4 linked regions of the Saccharomyces cerevisiae S288C genome follow. The gene in region 1 interacts genetically with each later gene. Each region holds a gene or a part of one and is shown in the gene's direction. Other genes may lie near its edges. The genes, in order: ARO80, URA3, MTC3 and TLD1.

Region 1 (8,007 bases):
TCCGGTTACACGCCTTCACCTTCTGCTTCTGTCGCCATGTCATCTACTTCCTCATCCTCTCCATATGATATTGTTTACTCTCTATCATCTTCTGCTTCCAGATCGTCCATTGCTACATATGAATTTTCACCTTCCCCATCTACTTCTTTACCCACCTCTTCTACTTACACATACTTTTCATCTGCTTATGCGTTTGAATTTTCTTCTGAGCGGTACTCAACAACATCCACAATAGCACCAACTCAAATACATAGCACATTGTCCAGGATTACGGATTTCTTACTGCAGACTTCGATGGCAATCCAAAGTATAGTCTCTCAGCAAATTTCTACAAGCTCAACTTTAAATGACGAAATACATTCAAGCGCGCTTTCCGTTTTCAACCCTTCAGCTTCGAATTTGGTTGAAACTTCTCTGATAATTTCATCGACCCAAGCAAGCATAACAAGCCCCAAAAACTCAGCTAAAATTAGTTCACTACAGAGCCAGCTGTCTAGCAGTACAAAAAATCCATACGATACGGCGAACAAGAATACTGAGACCAGTGGCAGATCCACAGTTGTTTCGAATTTCCTATACACATCTTCCGCGGCGAAACCAGACAATGAAAAGTTTTCCGCTACTCCTACAGAGATAACTACAATTTCAAGTAGCTCGCACGCATATTCTTTATCTATTCCAAGTTCTCATAATTCTGTGACTGGACTATCACATAACTTTGTCGATTCGTCAAAAAGTGCAACCTCATTTGGCTACTCATCCTCATCAATATCTTCAATAAAACTTTCAAAAGAAACAATACCTGCAAGTAAATCTGTTTCAAACACACAAGAAAGAATCACAAGCTTTACATCAACATTACGAGCAAATAGTCAGTCTGAAAAATCCGAAGGGAGGAATTCTGTAGGTTCTTTACAAAGTTCACATATTTCATCTAACCCATCGCTCTCCACAAATACAAAGGTTGATTCGAAAAGTTTATCCAGGAAAGTATCGAAAACCATGGGCGAAAATGGCGAGGAAACCGGCTTAACCACAACAAAGACGCAATACAAAAGTTCTTCTGAAACCAGTGGGTCATATTCTCGGTCTTTTACAAAAATCTCAATTGGACCTGCTACGACTGCAGTTCAAACTCAGGCAAGCACTAATTCAGTATTCACAGCCCCTGCCTTGTCTACCTATCCTACTACTCCGTACCCCTCTCCAAATAGTTACGCATGGTTACCTACCGCTATTATAGTGGAATCATCCGAAACGGGCCCCACTACCGCATCATTCAATCCGTCAATCACTGGTTCACTTCCCAATGCAATTGAACCGGCCGTCGCTGTATCGGAACCCATTAACCACACTTTAATTACCATCGGATTCACGGCCGCTTTGAATTATGTATTTTTGGTTCAAAATCCATTATCTTCGGCTCAAATCTTCAACTTTTTACCTCTCGTTTTGAAGTATCCCTTTTCAAACACCTCATCAGAACTGGACAATAGTATTGGGGAATTATCCACTTTTATTCTTTCATACCGGTCTGGGAGCAGCACAACTACCCTTTCCCCAAAATCCATATCATCATTATCAGTTGTCAAGAAAAAAAAAAACCAGCAGAAAAAAAATGCCACGAAGTCAACCGAGGACTTACATCCTCCACAAGTCGACACATCCTCAATAGCGGTGAAAAAGATTGTTCCCATGGTAGACTCTTCTAAGGCATACATTGTATCAGTTGCAGAGGTATATTTTCCAACAGAAGCCGTAACATATCTTCAGCAATTAATCCTTGATGAAAATTCGACTCTTTATAGCAATCCTCAAACCCCACTGCGAAGTTTAGCTGGTCTAATAGATAGTGGGATCCCATTAGGGGGATTGACGTTATATGGCTCTGGAGATGGTGGTTATGTCCCTAGTTTAACCTCATCAAGCGTCTTGGATTCTTCAAAAGGAAATTCCCAAAACATAGATGGAACTTACAAGTATGGAGCTTTGGATGACTTTATCAATTCATTCACAGATTCTGCATCTGCAGGAAAGTATGCTGTAAAAATAATCATCTTTTTGATTGTTTTAACTATTGGCGTACTCTTGTGGTTATTCGTTGCATTTTTTGCTTTCCGTCATAGAAATATATTATTGAAAAGACACCCAAGGAACTGCATAGGGAAAAGCCTCAATAATGAGAGGGAACTTGAAAGTACCGAGCTTTCCCGCTCTTCTTCTGGAAACCAAGTTTATAATGAAAAGCCGCCAGAATCTGAAAATGAAAGTGTTTACTCTGCGGTAGATGATCATTATATTGTGACTGGCGAAAACACAGTCTATAATACTATTCACAGATTACATTATACCATTAATGATGACGGTGATCTATTGTACAGGGACGCAATCCCCCTCGATTTTGATCAAACCAATGGGGATGATGGTTCGGGAATAGACAGTATAGTAAGAGACTGCGTGTATGACAAAAACCAAGATGCTACGGAAGCCTTCTTGAATGATGAGGAGTCCATATCAGGCATTCTAGATGTTGATGAAAATGGTGATATTCGATTATACGACAGTTATTCTGACAATGAAGAGTCAAACAGTTTTCACTTGCCAGACGAAGTTATTGAAAACTATAACAAGAACCATTTGTGCGAAACTAAACTTCATGGACTAGGCACTGAATCATGTACTACAGATGATCCCGATACTGGAAATCAAATTACGAATGAGTTTTCTACAGGGAGTCAGACATGTTTGCCAAGTACCGCTTATACCACACCCCTTCATACAAATTCGATTAAACTTCACACATTACGCTACACAGAATCTTCACTACCAAAGCCAAATCAGACTCTTTTCTCTAATCTTGAAGATTTAGAAATAGAGGATATTGACGACAATGGTAGTGTTTCAGATGTACATATCGAGGAGCTGGATGCTTTAGACGAAGAACTTTATAAGAGAATGTCGAAAGTTATAAAACAACAGAACCATCAAACGACAAAAATATAGCGAAAAATGATTATTGACTGTGCAATAAACGCTGCTGGAAGGGGCGCTTGCAACAAAAGATGATCACAAAAATTGATACCCATTAATACACATAGGCTCACGCCATTACTATTATTATATATATCATCAAGTATTGCATTTGTAATTTTATGAGTCCTTCTTAGTAATACATGAAGGCTTTTTTTTAATATTTTCGGAATCAACGAGAGTACACTATTCTATCCGATGATAACCGAGATAAATGAAGATAGTAACTAACCAATGAAAAAAGAGCGAGAATAAATTAAAGCAATAATATCAAGTTAGTCGTGGGAATATATGATCCACGCATAATAAGGTTACATTAAGCACTGCTTTATCCTCTATGTCTGCTAAGAAAAGGCCTTCGGGAAACGCAGCATTTGAACTTCCAAAACGGAGAAGAACCTACCAAGCTTGCATCAGCTGCAGATCAAGGAAGGTGAAATGTGATCTTGGTCCGGTTGATAACCCACACGACCCACCGTGTGCACGTTGCAAAAGGGAGCTAAAAAAATGTATTTTTAGCTCTAATAAGGGAACTTCGAACGACTTGCCTCCTAATTCGATTAATGCAATAAGTCTGCCATCTCTAGGTAAGAGTAAGCAAGAGATACAAAATGACTCAACGAGCCCAATTTTATCGGATGTACCTTTGTCAAGAAAAGGGATTAGCAGTGAAAAATCATTTAAATCAGAAGGGATGAAGTGGAAGCTTGAACTTTCCTCCATGCAGAACGCCCTAGAGTTTCTGGCCCAAGCTGCTGGAACTGTAGCAAAAGAAGGCGCAAAAGAAATCATAAAAGAGAAGTCCACAACACCGAAACCACTGAAAAGTTCTTTGGATGCGACAAATAAATCTGCTACGGACGAGGGGTTGAAACGACTTTCAAAAAGTGACAGTACTAACACACTTTACGAAAATACAGCAGATATGCTTAACCACACGCTGAATACGAATAGGAAAACATCACAATTAATGGAAGAAATCGGGAAAGTGAGACCTCCACCTACCCGGAAAATTGACGACTTCGATTACATCGGTCCAGATAGCTTGCTTACTAAAGAGGAGGCGATTGAACTCATAGAGGCATTTTTTCTCACGATGCACCCATTCTTTCCCAATATCCCACTTCAATTGCATGATCCGAAAGAATTAGCAGAATATCCAATTTTGTTTTGTGCAATTTTGACTGTTTCTGCTCGCTATCATCCTTTCGATACTTTAGGATTAGACAATGGAGAAGATGGGATGAGACACATTGAAGTTCACGATAAATTATGGGTGTATTGCCAGAAGCTTATATCTCAAACAATTTGGGCAGAGGCTAGTACTAGGTCAATTGGCACCGTGCTTGCTTTCATAATTTTCACGGAATGGAACCCAAGGAGTATCCACTATAAATGGTCTGACTATGCAAATGATCCTGAGTTAAATAATGTCAACGCTAGAGGAAGTAAGAATATTAGTACGAGGAAGGACGAAGAAGGATTGACCGGTGTCGGCGCAATCCGTAGAAGCGACCGAATGTCATGGATGCTGACAGGGTCTGCAGTAAGGCTGGCGCAAGATATGGGATTCATTGAAAACAGCTCAAAAGTATTCATTGTCACTCATATATCTGAGACTACCAGTGCTATGAATATGAATCAAAGATCCTTATTAGCAGAATCATTCAGCGTTTTAAACTTGAATTTAGGAAAAATTGAAAACGATGGAAATGAAAGCAATGAGGATTACCTTGGGAATGAAAAATTTTATCTGAATGAGATTTTGCCTGATGAAGAAAGTAAACTAAGGTGGAAGAGAGTTTTTGAAAACTCAGAAAATGACCACGACAACGAGAAAAATTTTTTGACTGATTGGGAGAGGGAGTTTTTAAACGATGAGTATGTTCTATATTATTCTAATAAAAAAGATGATACTAATCTAGCACAGAATCACATACCACCATTTCCACTAAGATTCTCATTCGCCCAAAGAGCAAAAATAGAGATCATTCGAATCCTATCCATAGCATATGAGACGATTTACTGTGAGAAGAATAAGAGGAAATTGGCAACGACAGATCAGAGACACAACCTCTCTGTCCTAAGTGTTTTTTCTCCCTTGATAGAGGGCTGGCTCAGTAACTACAGAGAGCTTCTTGTACCCCTTTCTGATGTCCCTTTCTCACTAGCAGATAGGAAGAACAAAAAACAAATATTTGATAACATCGATAGAATAAATGGTGAAAGTATTATCACAGATTTCAATTATTGTCAACTTTATATCTTTTCCCTCGCACTGCAAGTGGATGGGAAAACAAGCAGATTGAATATGAATGAAATTGTGACAAGCGCGAGGTATGTGGAATTAGCATACAGATCTGCAAAAGAAATATTGAGTTCTGCAAAGCGAGTTTCAAGGCAAGGAATGCTAAAATACATGCCCGTAAGATGGGTAATACGAATAATTAGATCCATTGCGTTCATAGTAAAATGCTACCTAACACTTACTGGTAGTGAACTGGCAACAAATCCAGATGCCAGAAACATTTTAAAATTAAGTGCAATATCGGTTGACGAAACATTCGATATCATCCGTGACACTGCGGTTACTTTGAAAGAAGCTACACCAGATGAATTACATCTATGTCAAAGATACGCAGCCATATTAATGTACTTATGTACAGAGATGAAACTTCGAAAAAAATCTTACTTAGAACGACCACCCTTATTAAGAGATGGCACCACTCCTCTAGAGAGCAATCGCGAATCCTCACTGGAGGGACAAGACTTAACTAAGAAGCCAATATTCTCTAAACGTATTGGATATAATAAAACCGAGACTACTTTTGAACCCTCGGAAAGGCCTTTGACGGAGGAAATTAATAGCAATTCTCAGAATTCAAATGATACATCTTCTAAAGGTATCGTTGATCCTTTTGTTGAACAAAACAACGATATCACAACAGCGTTACTGAACAATGAACTCTTCCAAGGTCCATCTCTATCTGACGAGGTTACAGATTGGTTCGGTGCTAGTGAAGATATCGGGCTTGAATTTGTAGAACCATGGACAGAACTTATTGAGCAACGATATATGCAATGTGGAGATGGTGATAATAATAATTTCGAAAATTTATACAACTTGTTCGTGAATAGTAATAACATCAATAATGATATTAATAACTCAAGGCCAATAACGCGTAAATAAGTAGATATCAAAGAATTACGTCATCAACCAAGACAACCGCACTATTCGTAAAAATGATTTTAAATACAAAGACAGAATAACAGGGGAAGATGGAGGTATATAATAATGCGAATGCTTCATAATACTATGACTGGTTTTCCATTGGGCATATGAGATGATTTTACGGCTCAATCACTACTTATATATGATTTCTATAACAAAGCAGGCCATTACACATTAGGAACGGCTATCTATTACATAAGAATATGCAGCAAATTCGTTGGATATGTTAAAGTATATTCCACGCATGCTGAGAAGTGGATTGCCAGAAACGTGACGTGAAATACCTACTAGAACAAAAAAAAAAGGAATGCAAACGTTCTAGGAGCCATAGGAATCAAAAAGAAAAAAATTGAATTAATAGAGTTCGTGAGAATCATTGCGAATTGAGATTCTAATTACTGATCTGAGACTTTTGTGTTTTATAATAACAAGGTGCATAAACTACTTGAGTGATAAATTTCCCCTCATATCTAGTAGTGCAAGCTACGCTGATTATTTCATCTCTAATACTGCTTGTCAGTAAATGGTTCAAATTCACGTGGGGTATAATATGATTTATCGCACCTTCATCCCTCTCATGTGATTCTGAATTCTGATTGCTTTGGTTTAGTATTCTGTTCAGATAGGATGAATTCAGGTATATGGGCAAGTCAGGAACTGGGTATCTACTTAGAAAAACCGCCTCTGCTGTTTCTGCATCAATATTACCGCCTTGCTGTAAAGTAGCAAATAAATCATCTTGATTACAGTCAACAACTCTATGTGTAAAGCTGGGAGGTTCTTGGGGATGCACGTCATCAGAATCTCCTTTTACAGAAATCGTAGAGCCGTCACCTATATTAAATAAATTTGGTATTTCGTTCGAATACACCAACCTCTCAGGCTTGACCTCGGCCATCAAATCCAAACTGCTAGCCTTCAGACGTACAAATGAGTCACGCATATTTATTGAACTGGACCTACTTAAGCCTCTATAATCTGAAAACGGTGTACTTGGCCTTTCAACACCCTTAGCAGAATAGTAGGAAGATTTTCGAGAGGAAGAAGGAAATCTTTTAAGTTCCGGTCTCTTGGGCAATTCTTCATCCAGTGTTGGCTCTACTTGCGAGTCGATGTCTGCTTCGTTTCTAAATGGCTCGATCGTATGATAACCGGGCAATACTTCAAACCAGTTGACAAAATTGCCTTCTGAATCCGTAGCTGTAGGAAGAAAATTTGAGTGAGTCAATATACCATTGATGGAGAATTGCAGTCTATAAATTCCTGCAGGCAAAAAAAGATCTGGAACAAACCATTCCTTATGCACATCATCATAAACCATGCGGATCCTAGGATTTAACTGTTTTTCTGAGTCTAAACTTGCATTCTCATCCAAGGTAAGCTCTCTTTGCTCTTTAAGAGCAGAAGCAATATCCGTGCTTACTATAAAGACTTCCGTGGTTGCAGCCACGGTACCATCGTCTTTCCATTTTAGAACAACTAAAGTATTTTCGGTGGAGTTTGTTGATGATATTGAAGACATACTCGACATGGAATTAGAGTGATGCGATATTTCTCTATGCTGCGGTGCAGAGTATTGACTTTCATTGTCGTTAATAATTGGATGTAGTGGATGCAAAGGCTGCAAATTCAAACCGTTTGTTAAGATACTCTTTCTTGATTGTAAAGAATGCAAAGAAGCAAATGAGGATCTTCTCGAATTTGAAACCGACCTTATTTTTTTATTCTGGGCTTTCTTTGTCTTA
Region 2 (5,839 bases), on another chromosome or scaffold:
AATTGAGCAAATATCCATCTTATGGACTAGGTCGCCATCTTTTTTTACTTCTACTTTTATCAATTTCGATTGTAATCTCGATAGGGCAGACGTTTCCATAAACTTTTTGAAGGCTTTGACTAAATTGGCCTTACCAGAATCCGCCTTAACTACCACAGAAAGTGTACCACCCATTTGCCTTGAGGGATTGGTCTCCCTAGTCGATGATATGTTCGATCACATGAAGGACATTGACAGAGAAGAATTTGGCAGGCAAAAGAATGAAATGGAAATCTTAAAAAAGAGGGACCGTAAAACAGAGTTTATTGAATGTACCAATGCATTCAATGAAAAGCCCAAAAAGGGTATTCCGATGTTAATAGAAAAAGGTTTCATTGCTTCCGACTCCGATAAAGATATTGCGGAGTTTCTTTTCAATAATAACAACCGTATGAATAAAAAAACAATCGGTTTGCTACTTTGCCATCCGGACAAAGTAAGCTTGTTGAATGAATATATTCGTTTGTTTGATTTTTCAGGGTTAAGGGTCGATGAAGCTATTAGAATTTTGTTGACGAAATTTAGGTTGCCTGGTGAATCGCAACAAATTGAAAGAATCATCGAAGCCTTCTCGTCTGCGTATTGTGAAAATCAAGATTACGATCCATCCAAAATCAGTGACAACGCGGAGGATGACATTTCTACTGTTCAACCAGACGCTGATTCTGTTTTCATTTTAAGTTATTCAATTATTATGTTGAACACTGACCTACATAACCCTCAAGTGAAGGAACACATGTCATTTGAAGATTACTCTGGTAACTTAAAGGGATGCTGTAATCACAAAGACTTCCCATTCTGGTATTTGGATAGAATTTACTGTTCAATCAGAGATAAAGAAATTGTTATGCCTGAAGAGCACCACGGCAACGAAAAGTGGTTTGAAGATGCTTGGAATAACTTGATATCTTCAACTACTGTTATAACTGAAATAAAAAAAGACACACAATCTGTCATGGATAAATTAACACCCTTGGAGCTTTTGAACTTTGATAGAGCAATTTTTAAACAAGTTGGCCCAAGTATTGTCAGTACTTTATTCAACATTTACGTAGTTGCATCTGATGACCATATATCTACCAGAATGATAACAAGTTTGGACAAATGTTCCTATATTTCCGCATTTTTTGACTTCAAAGATCTCTTTAATGATATACTAAACTCCATTGCTAAGGGCACTACTTTGATTAATTCAAGCCATGACGATGAACTTTCAACTTTAGCTTTTGAATATGGCCCAATGCCACTGGTGCAAATTAAATTCGAAGACACTAACACTGAGATCCCGGTTAGTACAGATGCTGTTAGATTTGGTAGATCATTTAAGGGTCAACTAAATACAGTTGTTTTTTTCCGGATTATTCGCAGGAACAAAGATCCTAAAATTTTCTCCAAGGAATTATGGTTAAACATTGTTAATATTATACTAACATTGTACGAAGACTTGATTTTGTCTCCTGATATTTTCCCTGATTTACAAAAAAGACTGAAATTAAGCAACTTGCCTAAGCCATCTCCTGAAATTTCTATTAACAAGAGCAAAGAAAGCAAAGGTCTCTTATCAACATTTGCTTCTTATTTAAAAGGTGATGAAGAACCCACAGAAGAGGAAATCAAATCCTCAAAAAAAGCGATGGAGTGCATAAAGTCGAGTAATATTGCCGCCTCTGTCTTTGGAAATGAATCAAATATAACAGCGGATTTAATAAAAACTTTACTAGACTCCGCCAAAACTGAGAAAAACGCAGATAATTCCAGGTATTTTGAAGCAGAACTTTTATTTATCATCGAATTGACTATTGCATTATTTCTATTTTGCAAAGAGGAGAAAGAATTAGGAAAGTTCATACTTCAAAAAGTTTTCCAACTTTCTCACACGAAAGGCCTCACGAAAAGGACTGTTCGTAGAATGCTAACATACAAAATTTTGTTAATTTCGTTATGTGCGGATCAGACGGAGTACTTGTCCAAATTAATAAACGATGAGCTGTTAAAAAAGGGGGATATTTTTACCCAAAAATTTTTTGCAACTAATCAAGGTAAGGAATTTTTGAAGAGACTATTTTCATTGACCGAATCAGAGTTTTATAGAGGATTTTTACTAGGAAATGAGAATTTTTGGAAATTTTTAAGAAAAGTTACAGCAATGAAAGAGCAGAGCGAGAGCATTTTTGAATATTTAAATGAATCGATCAAGACAGACAGCAATATTTTGACAAATGAGAACTTCATGTGGGTCCTAGGACTATTAGATGAAATTTCATCAATGGGTGCCGTTGGAAATCACTGGGAAATAGAATACAAGAAATTGACAGAAAGTGGTCATAAAATTGATAAGGAGAATCCATACAAGAAATCGATCGAATTATCATTGAAATCCATTCAACTAACATCACACTTGCTGGAAGATAATAACGATCTGCGTAAAAACGAGATATTCGCTATTATTCAAGCTTTGGCACATCAATGCATCAATCCGTGTAAGCAGATAAGTGAATTTGCAGTGGTAACGCTAGAGCAGACGCTCATCAATAAAATCGAAATTCCAACTAATGAGATGGAATCGGTAGAAGAATTAATTGAGGGCGGATTACTACCGTTGCTAAATTCGAGTGAAACACAGGAAGACCAGAAAATCCTCATTTCATCCATATTAACAATAATTTCAAATGTTTATTTGCATTATTTGAAACTAGGGAAGACAAGCAACGAAACGTTTTTGAAAATTTTGAGTATTTTCAATAAATTTGTAGAGGACTCAGATATTGAAAAAAAGCTACAGCAATTAATACTTGATAAGAAGAGTATTGAGAAGGGCAACGGTTCATCATCTCATGGATCTGCACATGAACAAACACCAGAGTCAAACGACGTTGAAATTGAGGCTACTGCGCCAATTGATGACAATACAGACGATGATAACAAACCGAAGTTATCTGATGTAGAAAAGGATTAAAGATGCTAAGAGATAGTGATGATATTTCATAAATAATGTAATTCTATATATGTTAATTACCTTTTTTGCGAGGCATATTTATGGTGAAGGATAAGTTTTGACCATCAAAGAAGGTTAATGTGGCTGTGGTTTCAGGGTCCATAAAGCTTTTCAATTCATCTTTTTTTTTTTTGTTCTTTTTTTTGATTCCGGTTTCTTTGAAATTTTTTTGATTCGGTAATCTCCGAGCAGAAGGAAGAACGAAGGAAGGAGCACAGACTTAGATTGGTATATATACGCATATGTGGTGTTGAAGAAACATGAAATTGCCCAGTATTCTTAACCCAACTGCACAGAACAAAAACCTGCAGGAAACGAAGATAAATCATGTCGAAAGCTACATATAAGGAACGTGCTGCTACTCATCCTAGTCCTGTTGCTGCCAAGCTATTTAATATCATGCACGAAAAGCAAACAAACTTGTGTGCTTCATTGGATGTTCGTACCACCAAGGAATTACTGGAGTTAGTTGAAGCATTAGGTCCCAAAATTTGTTTACTAAAAACACATGTGGATATCTTGACTGATTTTTCCATGGAGGGCACAGTTAAGCCGCTAAAGGCATTATCCGCCAAGTACAATTTTTTACTCTTCGAAGACAGAAAATTTGCTGACATTGGTAATACAGTCAAATTGCAGTACTCTGCGGGTGTATACAGAATAGCAGAATGGGCAGACATTACGAATGCACACGGTGTGGTGGGCCCAGGTATTGTTAGCGGTTTGAAGCAGGCGGCGGAAGAAGTAACAAAGGAACCTAGAGGCCTTTTGATGTTAGCAGAATTGTCATGCAAGGGCTCCCTAGCTACTGGAGAATATACTAAGGGTACTGTTGACATTGCGAAGAGCGACAAAGATTTTGTTATCGGCTTTATTGCTCAAAGAGACATGGGTGGAAGAGATGAAGGTTACGATTGGTTGATTATGACACCCGGTGTGGGTTTAGATGACAAGGGAGACGCATTGGGTCAACAGTATAGAACCGTGGATGATGTGGTCTCTACAGGATCTGACATTATTATTGTTGGAAGAGGACTATTTGCAAAGGGAAGGGATGCTAAGGTAGAGGGTGAACGTTACAGAAAAGCAGGCTGGGAAGCATATTTGAGAAGATGCGGCCAGCAAAACTAAAAAACTGTATTATAAGTAAATGCATGTATACTAAACTCACAAATTAGAGCTTCAATTTAATTATATCAGTTATTACCCGGGAATCTCGGTCGTAATGATTTCTATAATGACGAAAAAAAAAAAATTGGAAAGAAAAAGCTTCATGGCCTTTATAAAAAGGAACTATCCAATACCTCGCCAGAACCAAGTAACAGTATTTTACGGGGCACAAATCAAGAACAATAAGACAGGACTGTAAAGATGGACGCATTGAACTCCAAAGAACAACAAGAGTTCCAAAAAGTAGTGGAACAAAAGCAAATGAAGGATTTCATGCGTTTGTACTCTAATCTGGTAGAAAGATGTTTCACAGACTGTGTCAATGACTTCACAACATCAAAGCTAACCAATAAGGAACAAACATGCATCATGAAGTGCTCAGAAAAGTTCTTGAAGCATAGCGAACGTGTAGGGCAGCGTTTCCAAGAACAAAACGCTGCCTTGGGACAAGGCTTGGGCCGATAAGGTGTACTGGCGTATATATATCTAATTATGTATCTCTGGTGTAGCCCATTTTTAGCATGTAAATATAAAGAGAAACCATATCTAATCTAACCAAATCCAAACAAAATTCAATAGTTACTATCGCTTTTTTCTTTCTGTATCGCAAATAAGTGAAAATTAAAAAAGAAAGATTAAATTGGAAGTTGGATATGGGCTGGAACAGCAGCAGTAATCGGTATCGGGTTCGCCACTAATGACGTCCTACGATTGCACTCAACAGACCTTGACGCTCACGCCGTAGCGGGCGACAAGTCAAACGGAACAACCGTTGCCGTTCCCATCGGAGTCCGACCTAGGCCGAACTCCGTGAATTTCTGATAACAACGGTCGGTAAAGACTGGTTCCCCAGTATATTTCTTCTCTCAGGAGCAGGGGCCAATGCCAAAAGCGACATTAACCCGGAGGACAAGGCTCCACTGTGTTCCACCGAATTTCCCACCTGATAATATCTGATAACCCGCCCATAGGTGGGGATCCTTCTGTAAACAGGTTTCTTAATCGTAGGAATTACCACTGTTCCACTGCCAATCGCAGCTCCCAGAGTTTCGTTCCCAGCCGCGAGCACCACAGCGTACCATGTGCGCCACGAGGCCTCAAACGTAAAACAATCGAAACGAAAAGAAACAGACTATAGGGGAGTATAGAGACAGCCGGCCAATAAGAAGAGGAAAAAGAAATACTAGCGTTTATCAATGTGGGTCGTTAACATATCCTGTTGACAATGATTACAGGTTAAAAGGTAGCGTAAGTGAATATTAACTATGGATATTCTTATACTTAGATAAGAGACATATAAAACACACGATGATTGATTGATTTTTATGACCAATATATGTAATTCGTAATTCAGATAGTTTTTATACTTTTAATGTGTGCCGAACCATATTACTAGTATATGTAACTACCATGTTATGTTCAATTGGCAGATCTTTAACTCGGCTTTAGTTATCCAAGTTACTTGCAATATTTCCTTCTGCGAGAGTACATTTGCCCTTAAACGTATACGAGGTATTCATTAATGTGTGTTGTAAGTATTTAGATTGACATCTATAAGAGAGATGAACATATATATATATATATATATATATATACATGCATATTTACTATAAACGCGGTTTATTCTGCCAGGCA
Region 3 (5,773 bases), on another chromosome or scaffold:
TGCGCTTGCTATACACACACACACACACACACACACACACACACACAATATCTATCTATATATATATGTATGTTCTTTATTGTTTGTCTTTACCTTTATATATAAACATATATAGCCATATAAGAATATAATATTACCACTCCACTGTATTTTGTATCCTGCCTATTTTTGCTAGATTACAGGACGCGCGAGCCTTTCAGGGGAGGGAACTGATGAATCGATCAACCAAAAGAAAGAGCCAAAGGATTGGACCAGAACTGTTACTGTTATAGCAGAAATATTAGTAGTACGTTAAAGCCAAGCGTCGAATTTCAGCATAATTAAGAGGAAATGTCTGAATATATGGATGACGTAGACCGCGAATTCATTAACTGTTTGTTCCCGAGCTACTTGCTGCAACAGCCTGTGGCTTATGATTTATGGATTTTATATTTGCAACATAGAAAACTCTTTCACAAACTGAAGAACACTAACTTAATCAACGCTGATGAAAATCCCACTGGCGTTGGAATGGGCAGGACAAAGTTAACTGCTTTAACAAGGAAAGAAATCTGGTCTAAATTGATGAATTTGGGTGTTCTAGGCACAATTTCGTTTGAAGCTGTCAACGACGATTACCTGATTCAAGTCTATAAATATTTCTATCCAGACGTTAATGATTTTACTTTGAGATTTGGTGTTAAAGATTCAAATAAAAATTCAGTGCGAGTTATGAAAGCTTCCTCAGACATGAGGAAAAATGCTCAGGAACTATTAGAACCCGTTTTATCCGAACGTGAAATGGCGCTTAACTCTAATACCAGCCTGGAAAATGACAGAAATGACGATGATGATGACGATGATGATGATGACGATGATGACGATGACGATGACGACGACGACGATGAATCCGATCTGGAAAGCTTAGAAGGGGAAGTGGATACTGACACGGACGATAACAACGAAGGAGATGGCTCTGACAATCACGAGGAAGGTGGAGAAGAAGGAAGTAGAGGAGCTGATGCTGATGTGTCCAGTGCACAGCAGCGTGCCGAAAGGGTTGCGGACCCATGGATATATCAAAGATCTAGATCAGCTATTAATATAGAAACAGAATCAAGGAATTTGTGGGATACATCTGACAAGAACAGTGGTCTACAATACTACCCCCCTGATCAGTCTCCAAGTTCTTCCTTTTCTTCTCCTAGAGTATCGTCTGGTAACGACAAAAATGACAATGAGGCAACAAATGTTTTGTCCAACAGTGGTAGCAAAAAGAAAAACTCAATGATCCCTGATATTTACAAAATACTTGGGTACTTTTTACCTTCTAGATGGCAAGCTCAACCAAATAACAGCTTGCAGCTATCTCAAGATGGTATTACTCATTTACAACCTAATCCTGATTATCACTCATACATGACTTATGAAAGATCAAGCGCTTCTTCTGCCTCTACCAGAAATAGACTGAGAACCTCTTTTGAGAACTCTGGGAAAGTGGACTTTGCAGTCACTTGGGCAAATAAGTCATTGCCAGACAATAAGTTAACTATATTCTATTACGAGATTAAAGTTCTCAGTGTAACGAGTACAGAGAGTGCTGAAAATAGTAACATTGTTATCGGATACAAGTTAGTAGAGAATGAATTAATGGAAGCGACTACAAAAAAGAGTGTTTCTCGTTCAAGCGTGGCCGGTTCTAGTAGTAGCTTAGGTGGTAGTAATAACATGAGTTCCAATAGAGTACCTTCTACTTCTTTCACTATGGAAGGTACTCAAAGGCGTGATTATATTTATGAAGGGGGCGTTTCAGCCATGTCTCTTAACGTGGATGGTTCCATAAATAAGTGTCAGAAATACGGATTTGATCTTAATGTATTTGGCTATTGCGGATTTGACGGTTTGATAACTAATTCTACAGAACAATCTAAGGAATATGCTAAGCCTTTTGGTAGGGATGACGTTATTGGTTGTGGCATAAATTTTATCGATGGCTCAATTTTTTTCACGAAGAATGGTATCCATTTAGGTAACGCATTCACCGACTTGAATGATCTAGAATTCGTCCCATATGTGGCCTTACGACCTGGGAATTCTATCAAAACAAATTTTGGGTTAAATGAGGATTTTGTATTTGACATTATTGGATATCAAGATAAATGGAAGAGTTTGGCGTATGAGCATATTTGTCGTGGACGCCAAATGGACGTTTCAATTGAAGAATTCGACTCTGATGAAAGTGAGGAAGATGAAACTGAAAATGGGCCTGAAGAAAATAAATCAACAAACGTTAATGAAGATTTGATGGATATTGATCAAGAGGATGGTGCCGCTGGTAATAAGGATACAAAGAAGCTTAACGATGAGAAGGACAACAATCTGAAGTTTCTTTTGGGAGAAGATAATAGGTTTATAGATGGAAAGCTAGTTAGACCAGACGTGAACAATATTAACAACTTAAGCGTGGATGACGGTTCATTGCCTAATACATTAAACGTGATGATAAATGATTATTTGATCCACGAAGGATTGGTGGATGTTGCAAAGGGGTTTTTGAAAGATTTGCAAAAAGATGCGGTTAATGTCAATGGGCAACATTCTGAAAGTAAAGATGTTATCAGGCACAATGAAAGACAGATCATGAAAGAAGAACGTATGGTAAAGATAAGGCAAGAATTAAGATACTTGATAAACAAAGGTCAAATTAGCAAATGCATCAATTATATCGATAACGAAATTCCAGATCTGTTAAAAAATAATCTAGAATTGGTATTTGAGTTAAAACTAGCGAATTATCTGGTGATGATTAAAAAGAGTTCATCCAAAGATGATGACGAAATTGAAAATTTAATTTTGAAGGGTCAAGAATTATCTAATGAATTTATCTACGATACTAAAATTCCACAATCTTTGAGGGATAGGTTTAGTGGACAATTGAGTAATGTCTCTGCATTGTTAGCATATTCCAATCCACTTGTGGAGGCACCAAAGGAGATATCAGGATATTTGAGTGACGAATACTTACAAGAGAGATTATTTCAAGTTAGTAACAACACAATACTAACATTTTTACATAAGGATAGCGAATGCGCATTAGAGAATGTAATATCAAACACTAGAGCTATGCTTTCTACATTACTTGAGTATAACGCGTTCGGTTCAACCAACTCTTCAGATCCAAGATATTACAAAGCTATTAACTTCGACGAAGATGTGTTGAATTTATGAGCATAAAACAAGCACCTTCAAACAACAAAGCCATGTGATATCAGTCATTATCTTCCCAAAAATCGCATATTAATATGTCTTAAACCGTTTATATAATGAAATTTACTTGACACCTTTCTTTTTAATATTCTCATCCAAAATACTTCTTAAGTATAGTATATAATTTCATCGATAATTCCTTTATAGGCCAACGAAGAGCCACTAGACGTAGACACCGAAAGAATTCGAAGCAAAAACAGTGGTCAAGCCAGCAAACAAGCTGCCAATTACACTTAAAATTGTGTAGAAGAAGAGTTTCTTAATGTATGAAGATTTAGAACCGACGGCGAACAGGGCAGATGATAATACAGCTAATGTAACGATTAAACCACAAATTGCAAATTTTGGTTGAGTGTCTAAGTGGATAAATGGCTGGAAGCTCTTTGAGGAATGGAACTCTTTCTTAAGTGATTACACAAATGCCGAGAAGGCGAATTGGCTATACTTGTTAGTAATTATGAATTAGAAAACAGGAAGGGAACTATTCATTGTCCTGTGTGTTGTTAAAAACATCAAAAGAATAGCATCAACCAGCGTTACAGGCAACGTACGTATAATTGTTCATAAGTCATTGTAAACCTTGAATATGCAGGGATATCTCTCACTGCTTATGTTTTGCCTATTTACAGTATACGTTTTATGTGTACTTGCATCCTTCTTCGAAAAGTATTTGCAATTTCAAATTTCGCGTCAAAGAAAAGAGAAGACCACCCAAAAGATATCATTTCAACATAGGTAGAAATAAGGCAGAAGATGATGGGACGAAACGGTATTCGGCTAGCACTGAAAAGATCTTTCAGCACTTATCAGCCACCGGTAGTAGAGATTACGAATATAACGAAGTTATGGCCCACTCTACGACCTGAAGTTAGGGATGAAATCAAGGAATACTTACGATGGAGGATGCAAGAAGATTGGAGACATATACCGCTGGAGGAGACCAAAGCAGCGTATTTCTTATCTTATGGACCCTGTGGTGGCAGATCCAAGGGCAACGAATGGAACGTAGGGTACACGGGAATGCGGATAGTGTTCAACCTTGTTTTATTTGGCGGTGCAGCGACTGCATTTTATAATTGGAAACAAGATAAAAAGCTAGAGGAACAATTAAGGGATCTTGTATAAATTGGAAGCAACAATAGTATATATATATATGCGCTTGCGCAGAGTACGTTCTATTCATTTTTTATCATTCATTATCTATCCCTGTAAATAAACTAATATAAAAATTCAAAAAAATAATGATTTCGCCCAGGATCGAACTGGGGACGTTCTGCGTGTTAAGCAGATGCCATAACCGACTAGACCACGAAACCACTTAATTGAAATATACAACCCCAAGATAAGATACTTGCTTCATAGTTTAGTTGTAAAATTGAAGTTCAGTACAACATGGCACTAGTATAAAAAAAAGTTTACCAGCCATTACTGCGCACTTACCTACATTAGTCACTCTTAGCGTATATTCTAAATACGCTTAGAGACGTCTCCTTACTATTTTTCATACGTATAACTCTCAAAGGACAGTATAGACATATCCCTGGGGGCTTTTAGAGTGCAGCCTCTGGAGGTCTACACACGTTAATAGTCTCAAAAAATACGCTAATATTTGTTAAATAAGCGAATAGGTCTTCATGTGCGCCTGAATCAGTAGCTGTCTACATGGTAAAGAGTAATTTGTTGACACGAAAATTGATAGTTGGTTAAAAAATATTGCAGATTCAATACTACATGAAAGACTTAATTACAAGATAGACTGATGGTGAAAAAAGAATGTACAGGTTTACCGGCAAACATTTTGAGAAATTAAAGCCCAAAAAATTTTGTGTACCTTATGATTTTCCTCCTCTGTCTAATCCAGTTCCGTATCTGGGTACTGCTGCTTCTTTGTTAAAATCGCAGCATGCTTCCCATTGTTGGGAATTGACTTTGAGCAATATTTAGTTAGTAACTACCATATAGGTGACTGTCGTGTGCCAGCTATAACAGAAATAATCCTTTCACCATGATCATTGTAAACGATCAAAGAAAACTCTGAAGGGACTATAATGCAGTCTTCATGCAGACACTTGAAATATACGACATTAGTAGCTCCCAAGGTAGTAGGCACATCCTGCGTAAATTCTCCACAACCATGTTGTATATATAGCAGCCATAGTATGACCGAGCACATGGGACGTACGAATAAAAGATTTTCTCAGATCCCTGAACTTGAGCGTCAACCATGAATTTCTCTACTTTTTTTTCGAGCAGTAATTACCATTTTAGGTTTGATTACAATCACAGCTTCAGCAGAATTTGATTTCGACGTAGGCTATGAAGAGTTTGTCCGTATCAACCCTGATAAGACCTTCTTAGAAAGTGAGATTGGCCTTTACGTTGGTTGGACCGAGGGTAGTCAACGGCAGATAACAACGATACCACATAATTCCACGTTGGCGGCATCACTACAAGAGTAGAATGGTTGTGGTGGTAATGGCACAGAAACCTCCATCGCTACGTCCACACTTACGATGAGTGGTATACC
Region 4 (5,731 bases), 300 kb from region 1:
GAAGACGAATTTTCTGGTCAAGGAATAAATGGCTCCATGGTAATTTCAAAAATTGAATCAGAACTAAGTTCTTTGGCCGAACACATTGGCAACATTAGCACCCCCGGATCGAATAGAGAAGTCGCCGAATCGACTAGGAACGTGGCTGTTGCAGAGGGCCATAATACAATTTTATCAAACGAAGATAGTATACTCAAGGGAAAAGAGAAGGGAAAAGAGGAGGAAAAGGAGAAGGGAGAAGAAAAGGGAGTTAACAGCTTAAAAGGCGCCGCTGTGAAAGTTGTTGCGAAGTCATTGAAGAATAATCGCATTCCCGTCACTGTGAAGAGAAATGAGCCTTCAAACAATTTATTTGACGTTTTAAACTGCGACGAAAGCGAGGAAGAAGAAGAGCAAGATGTCGAAACCAATACGTCGAATCAAGAAAGGAAGAACCAGGGCGGTAATACTGAAGTGCCGGAGGCTCAGCGTGACAGTGCAGATAGGTTACCTGCCAAGGACGACGGTGGATACAAATCTGCCTTTGGCACTGATAGTTGTGGTCTATTTGCAGCTGACGCTAAAGATGAAAAAAAGCAGGTTCATCCATCTAGACAAGAATTAAGTTTTACGTAGTGTATAGCGGTAATGTTTATTAACTCTTTCGGCAAAGTGCGTTTGGGCTCGCAATGAACAGACACCACCATTGCTTCTTCTGCGCTTATTTGCCTTTGTTGTATATCTAGTTCTCAAAATGGAGTCATTCATCAGTCGATGTGTGGGCGGAAATGACGTTCATCTAGCAATGGCACACTAGTTTTTACTCAACAATTCAAACTCAATGGAAAGCCAGGAAGTTAGCGCCGGGAAACTTCAGGACAATATAAAAACAGGACTAACGGAAGAAAATAATGTGGGCCTTTTTGAGCAACGCTGACGGTAAGTAGTTTCCTACGATCGTACAATCCCGGAAAATTGTAGTGGTGCAAGAAGGGAAAAGAATGATGGCGAAAAATGCACGCGCGTAAATAATGATTTGTCGAGTCCTATTGACCACAAAACCCGCGGAAACCTAGTTAGCCCAAAAGGAAATGGATAGCATATGAAAAACGAAACGAAACGTCCTTTTGCACGGCAGAAAGAGCTTAGTAGGACCCGGGACAAATGCAAGTTAGATTCCTTGATTCCCGAATGCTCGGTCTTGCGTTTCGCCGTGGCTGCATGGAAGGTCATCGTACGGGTACGGGCAGTCTGGCTGAGTGGTGCCGCCAAAGTGCAATAGCTGTCAGTAGGGCGTGAGGAATGTAAAAGGCAAGAAAACATGTACGAGGGAAGAGAAGGGGGCAAAAGAAAGATAATAGGAACGGTGTAGATGAACTAGAAAAGGTTCAAGAGATGATAAACGTGAAGGGAGTGTCATATCTACCGACATAAAGATAGAGATCTTTTTTTTTCCTTTATTTTTTTTTTTGATTTTTTTTTTTGATTTTCTTGATATTAGTTTTTAGAAGTCCTTTGACGGGGCAGCCGGAGAATATATACCAACGGCATTCTATTGTCTTTTTTTCTTCCTTCCTTGCCAGGCATCTGCATCCATTATTGCCTTTAGTTACAATGTTTTTTTTCCCGAAGCTTAGAAAACTTATAGGTTCAACTGTGATCGATCACGATACCAAGAACTCATCAGGAAAGGAAGAGATCATGTCAAATAGCCGATTAGCACTTGTTATTATCAACCACGCCTTTGATAAGGTACTATCTTTGACGTGGCACTGCGGGATATTATCCGAAATAAGATCAGGACTGATGTTAATGTTTGGCATTTTCCAGTTGATGTGCTCTTTGGGTGTCATCGTATTGCTGTTGCCTATTATCATACTGGACGCGATCGATCTATTCCTCTACATGTGCAGGTTGCTTGATTACGGTTGCAAGTTATTCCACTACAATAGATCATCATTACCGGTGGCAGATGGAAAAGAAAAGACCAGTGGTCCCATAAGCGGAAAGGAGGAAATAGTTATTGATGAGGAGATAATTAATATGCTAAATGAATCCTCAGAATCATTGATCAATCATACTACAGCTGGTCTGGAATATGATATTAGTTCAGGTAGTGTTAACAAAAGTAGGCGTTTGAATTCAACTAGTACAGTTACATTTGTGAAGCAGAATAAACTTGTTAATGAAAGGAGGGAAGACGCCTACTACGAGGAAGAGGATGATGATTTCCTATCAAATCCGAATTATGATAAGATATCATTGATCGAAAAATCATTCACGAGTCGTTTTGAAGTGGCTTGTGAGCAGAAAGCTGCTTAAATTGATAATCAAGGTCAAGGCAACGCAACGCCACTGCTAAGAACACTTATTGCTACAGAAAGGAAACTAAAAATAATTATAAGGCTAGAGAGAAATAAAAACAAAATAAGAGAGATAATATGGGTAAGGGTCTGCCACCCATCTGATAAAAGGCTGTTCTATCTTTTGGAACTCTACAACACAGGTAAACGGATGATACTGGCTATATTTATATAGATAAACAAACTTGCAGGACAGATAGTTAAGCGTCTATATCATGTGTATTTTAAGCGAAGAAAAAAGTACAAAAATGATAAAAGGCAAAAAAGATGAGAAGTTTTTTTTGTGATAAAATTAATTATTAAAAAATACACACGTAGTTAAAATTAACAGCGGGGGAGGAAACCTTAAGAGAAAGAGAAACAAAAAAAAAGAAAGGAAACAAATAAAAATGAGGGTGACCCGAACATGTTGATACCGTTTCCTAATACTGCTTCCTTATTTCATTTGATAGTTACTTTCGTTTATTGAATGAGCTTAATCTTGTAGGACAATGTACAAGGCATATAGCATACCTGGGAACCAAGCCAAAATGGTCAAAATGATATCCACTATACAGTCAGTACCCCACCCACGGGCTAGAAAAACGGCGACTGGTGGTAAGAAAAGGGATAATATAATGTTAATGATCTTGGCAGAATCCATTGTTGTATTGTGCTGTGCTGTTTAGTTCAAAATGTATAATCAATTGTATTATACTGGCGAAAAACAACAACCGATAGTAAATTTTCTTCTTTTTTTCCTTTCCCTCTTCCAAAACAAAAACACTCACTTCCTCTTTTGTATTTATAGAGGCGCCCATCGCAAAATAACCAGGACCCCCTTTTGAGGGCGTGGTTAAAGGGCACCCAGAGCCCACACCCATTGCATCTTCCGCTATTAGGGGACTGCGGAAGTGAGGGGAGCAGTAAATAGTGATCTTTGTAATTTTCTGCAAAATCCCTCTCGCTGTCTCGGGTTTTTCGATTCAGAGGACCTTCCCCCCCCCATGTTCCGAGATCGGTTTTGGTGGTTAGAAGGCCGGAGGAAAGACATTTACCGCTTGCGCGCGGCTTCTTCTGTATGCTGTGCTCAACTACCAAGAGAAGGATTACGCGCACGGATACGTTGGATGTCTGCGATTGGTGATGCTAAGAACTAAAGGTATTTCGTCATCGTATGGTTTGATCTTCGCTACCCTTGACTCTTTACTGCGATAACGGTACCACGTTCCCATAAAATTCTTATTACTAAATCTCTATAAAGCTGCAACAGCTAGTTTGTATATATAAATCATTGGCGCTTCTTCCTCAATTCCTTGGGAATTTGGAGCTCCTCTATTAAAACTGATGTCCATGGGATAGTATTGATACAATCGAAGAGTCTCCAAAAAAACCATCGGGAAGGTTTCTTTTTAGTATCTTCAGGATACTGAATCCGGCTGCCAATCCAATCCTAATCTTTGGTAAACTTGTGCCTGACATTGCGACCATATCGTAGCCTTTTCTTCTTTAGATAAGCTGACTTTGTTTTTTCCCTGTTGATTTGTTGCGGCGCTTGATCTCATCATCAATTCATCAAGGTTATTATTGGGGTTTTTCAACTGAATGTTCTTCAATAAAGCCTTTTTCAGAAGCGATTTTGTTTCTGTGCTGTTTTTCCGCGGTATTATGCTTGGTGGGGGCATGTCCGGTCTTTTTAAGTTGGACTGTTGTAACTTCCATTTCTTATATTCGGAGCATCTTTGTTTGAAATCAAACCTGCATTGTGCCTCTACTGCTATATTTAAGAGGTAATTTTCGATGATATTTCTCCATTCCGGTTTCGACAAATTCATGACGGCTTCATTTCTACCAGTTATATGCTCATGTCTTTTTCTAGCGGTCGCTACTGTATATTTGGCGCTGGTTAGTTTGAATTCATAATCTAAGTTAGCCTCCATGTACAGATCCGAATGGACTAACGTTGCGATTATGGTCTCATCGCTAGAATATAGTGGTAATAATTGTAACCTAAACTGGGGCATATTATCACCCACCGTTATTACTTCCGGTAGTTGATTACCCCATTCGGGCCTTAACTTCTCGACTATCAATAACGATCTTATATCGTTTAAATCCCAATCCAATAACTCTCTCTTGGTAAACTTGGGACGCCCGTTACAGAGAATGTTGGATGGGTCTGCTAATAGAATATCTGGCGAATACATGTCATAAAACGTTTTGGGTAATGCTTCATCCAGGCTCACTCTCGTGATTAACTTGTGGTTAGGAAATTCGGAGAACGAAGAGTCATTAGTTAGTTGCGTGTGCACAGTAGAGGGGGCAGAAAATATACTTGATTGATAAGACGAGGCATTATCCGAAAGTAAACTCCCACTTTCAGCCACGCTTGATCTCCTGCTCGCTGAATGCATACTGCTTGAATGATGTGACCTTCTGCTAGGTGAGGAGGCCAATAATCTTTTTTTAATCTCATCTCTAGCTCTATCAGTGTACTCCGGAGGAGCATTCACAAAGTTCTCTCTTCTCGAAGAAGTCGTGGATTGAGAGCTACTCATTGATAGTGGCAAACTTTGAAAAGAAGCATTATCACTGCCACTCATCGTGTTTTCCGGAATGGCCTGTAGGGAGCTTGCAAACCCATGATTACTGTTAGTCGATTCTAATGGACGTCGTTGTAAAACTTGGTTTTTCGAAGTTGCTGGTGGTGGTGAAACAAACATTCCTTTGAGTGTGTGTACTCTATGCGTTCGAATAAAATTCTCTTTGTATTGCTGCTTGTGGTTTCGCTATTGAGAACTTTCAATATACGTTAAAAAATACTTGGAGTGAAATGAACAAATCTTTTTGTATGTTTCCTTAAGTTATTAAAAAACTCCATGCTGTTTTTTAATAAAAAAAGAAGCAGTTACAGGCGCATTACAAAGTTTGAGAAGAAAGGAAAAATGTCATTTGGTTATATAAATTTTTTTTCTTAATGGAGATTGAGGCAGCAATAAAATGTGGGATGAAAAAAAAAAAAAAAGGCACTTGAATAAGGGGTAGAATGGCAGATATTCCATGTCTACGGTAGTTTCACTGGAGAAATGGACTCGTATTTTCTCTCACGATGAATTTTTCCACAAAATTATAAGATGAGGAAATGTGTGGGGCAGTCATCCTAACAAAACTCGCACGGACTCCATTTCCCCGGACCTTTTTCCCGCTTGTTCTAGGGAATAATTTCGGAATAATTTTAGGGACTTCATAGTATGACTGGGTTTCAAGGAACGGAAAAACTGGTTAGTACCGCGTTATTCTGCCATTTGCTGATCGTTTTAGTGGAGGAGCGGAGGAGGGGGCGGGGTGATAACTTTTTTTCCGCTTTACAATAGAGAAAAGTCCAAGTAAGTCTCGGCGTGAGATGGCCT

The links.
Region 2: mutations in ARO80 (region 1) and URA3 impair growth when combined (synthetic growth defect), as found in Saccharomyces cerevisiae (one study listed by BioGRID).
Region 3: mutations in ARO80 (region 1) and MTC3 together harm fitness more than expected from each alone (negative genetic interaction), as found in Saccharomyces cerevisiae (one large-scale study listed by BioGRID).
Region 4: mutations in ARO80 (region 1) and TLD1 together harm fitness more than expected from each alone (negative genetic interaction), as found in Saccharomyces cerevisiae (one large-scale study listed by BioGRID).

The regions. Positions count from the first base shown.
Region 1 is NC_001136.10:1,308,673-1,316,679, forward strand, and holds ARO80 (Aro80p), read left to right. Parts: upstream 1-3,367; coding exon 3,368-6,220; downstream 6,221-8,007. Other genes in the region: HKR1 (Hkr1p), read left to right, coding at 1-3,003; SIP1 (Sip1p), read right to left, coding at 6,654-8,007.
Region 2 is NC_001137.3:112,806-118,644, forward strand, and holds URA3 (orotidine-5'-phosphate decarboxylase), read left to right. Parts: upstream 1-3,361; coding exon 3,362-4,165; downstream 4,166-5,839. Other genes in the region: Arf family guanine nucleotide exchange factor GEA2, read left to right, coding at 1-2,995; protein transporter TIM9, read left to right, coding at 4,406-4,669; PXP1 (putative indolepyruvate decarboxylase family protein), read right to left, coding at 5,812-5,839.
Region 3 is NC_001139.9:69,341-75,113, forward strand, and holds MTC3 (Mtc3p), read left to right. Parts: upstream 1-3,999; coding exon 4,000-4,371; downstream 4,372-5,773. Other genes in the region: glucose-induced degradation complex subunit VID30, read left to right, coding at 331-3,207; OST5 (dolichyl-diphosphooligosaccharide--protein glycotransferase subunit), read right to left, coding at 3,409-3,648, 3,798-3,818. UniProt on the Saccharomyces cerevisiae protein: May be involved in telomere capping.
Region 4 is NC_001136.10:1,010,659-1,016,389, forward strand, and holds TLD1 (triglyceride-associated lipolysis regulator TLD1), read left to right. Parts: upstream 1-1,593; coding exon 1,594-2,301; downstream 2,302-5,731. Other genes in the region: DON1 (Don1p), read left to right, coding at 1-615; YDR274C (uncharacterized protein), read right to left, coding at 931-1,302; PMP3 (Pmp3p), read right to left, coding at 2,818-2,985; MTH1 (Mth1p), read right to left, coding at 3,743-5,044.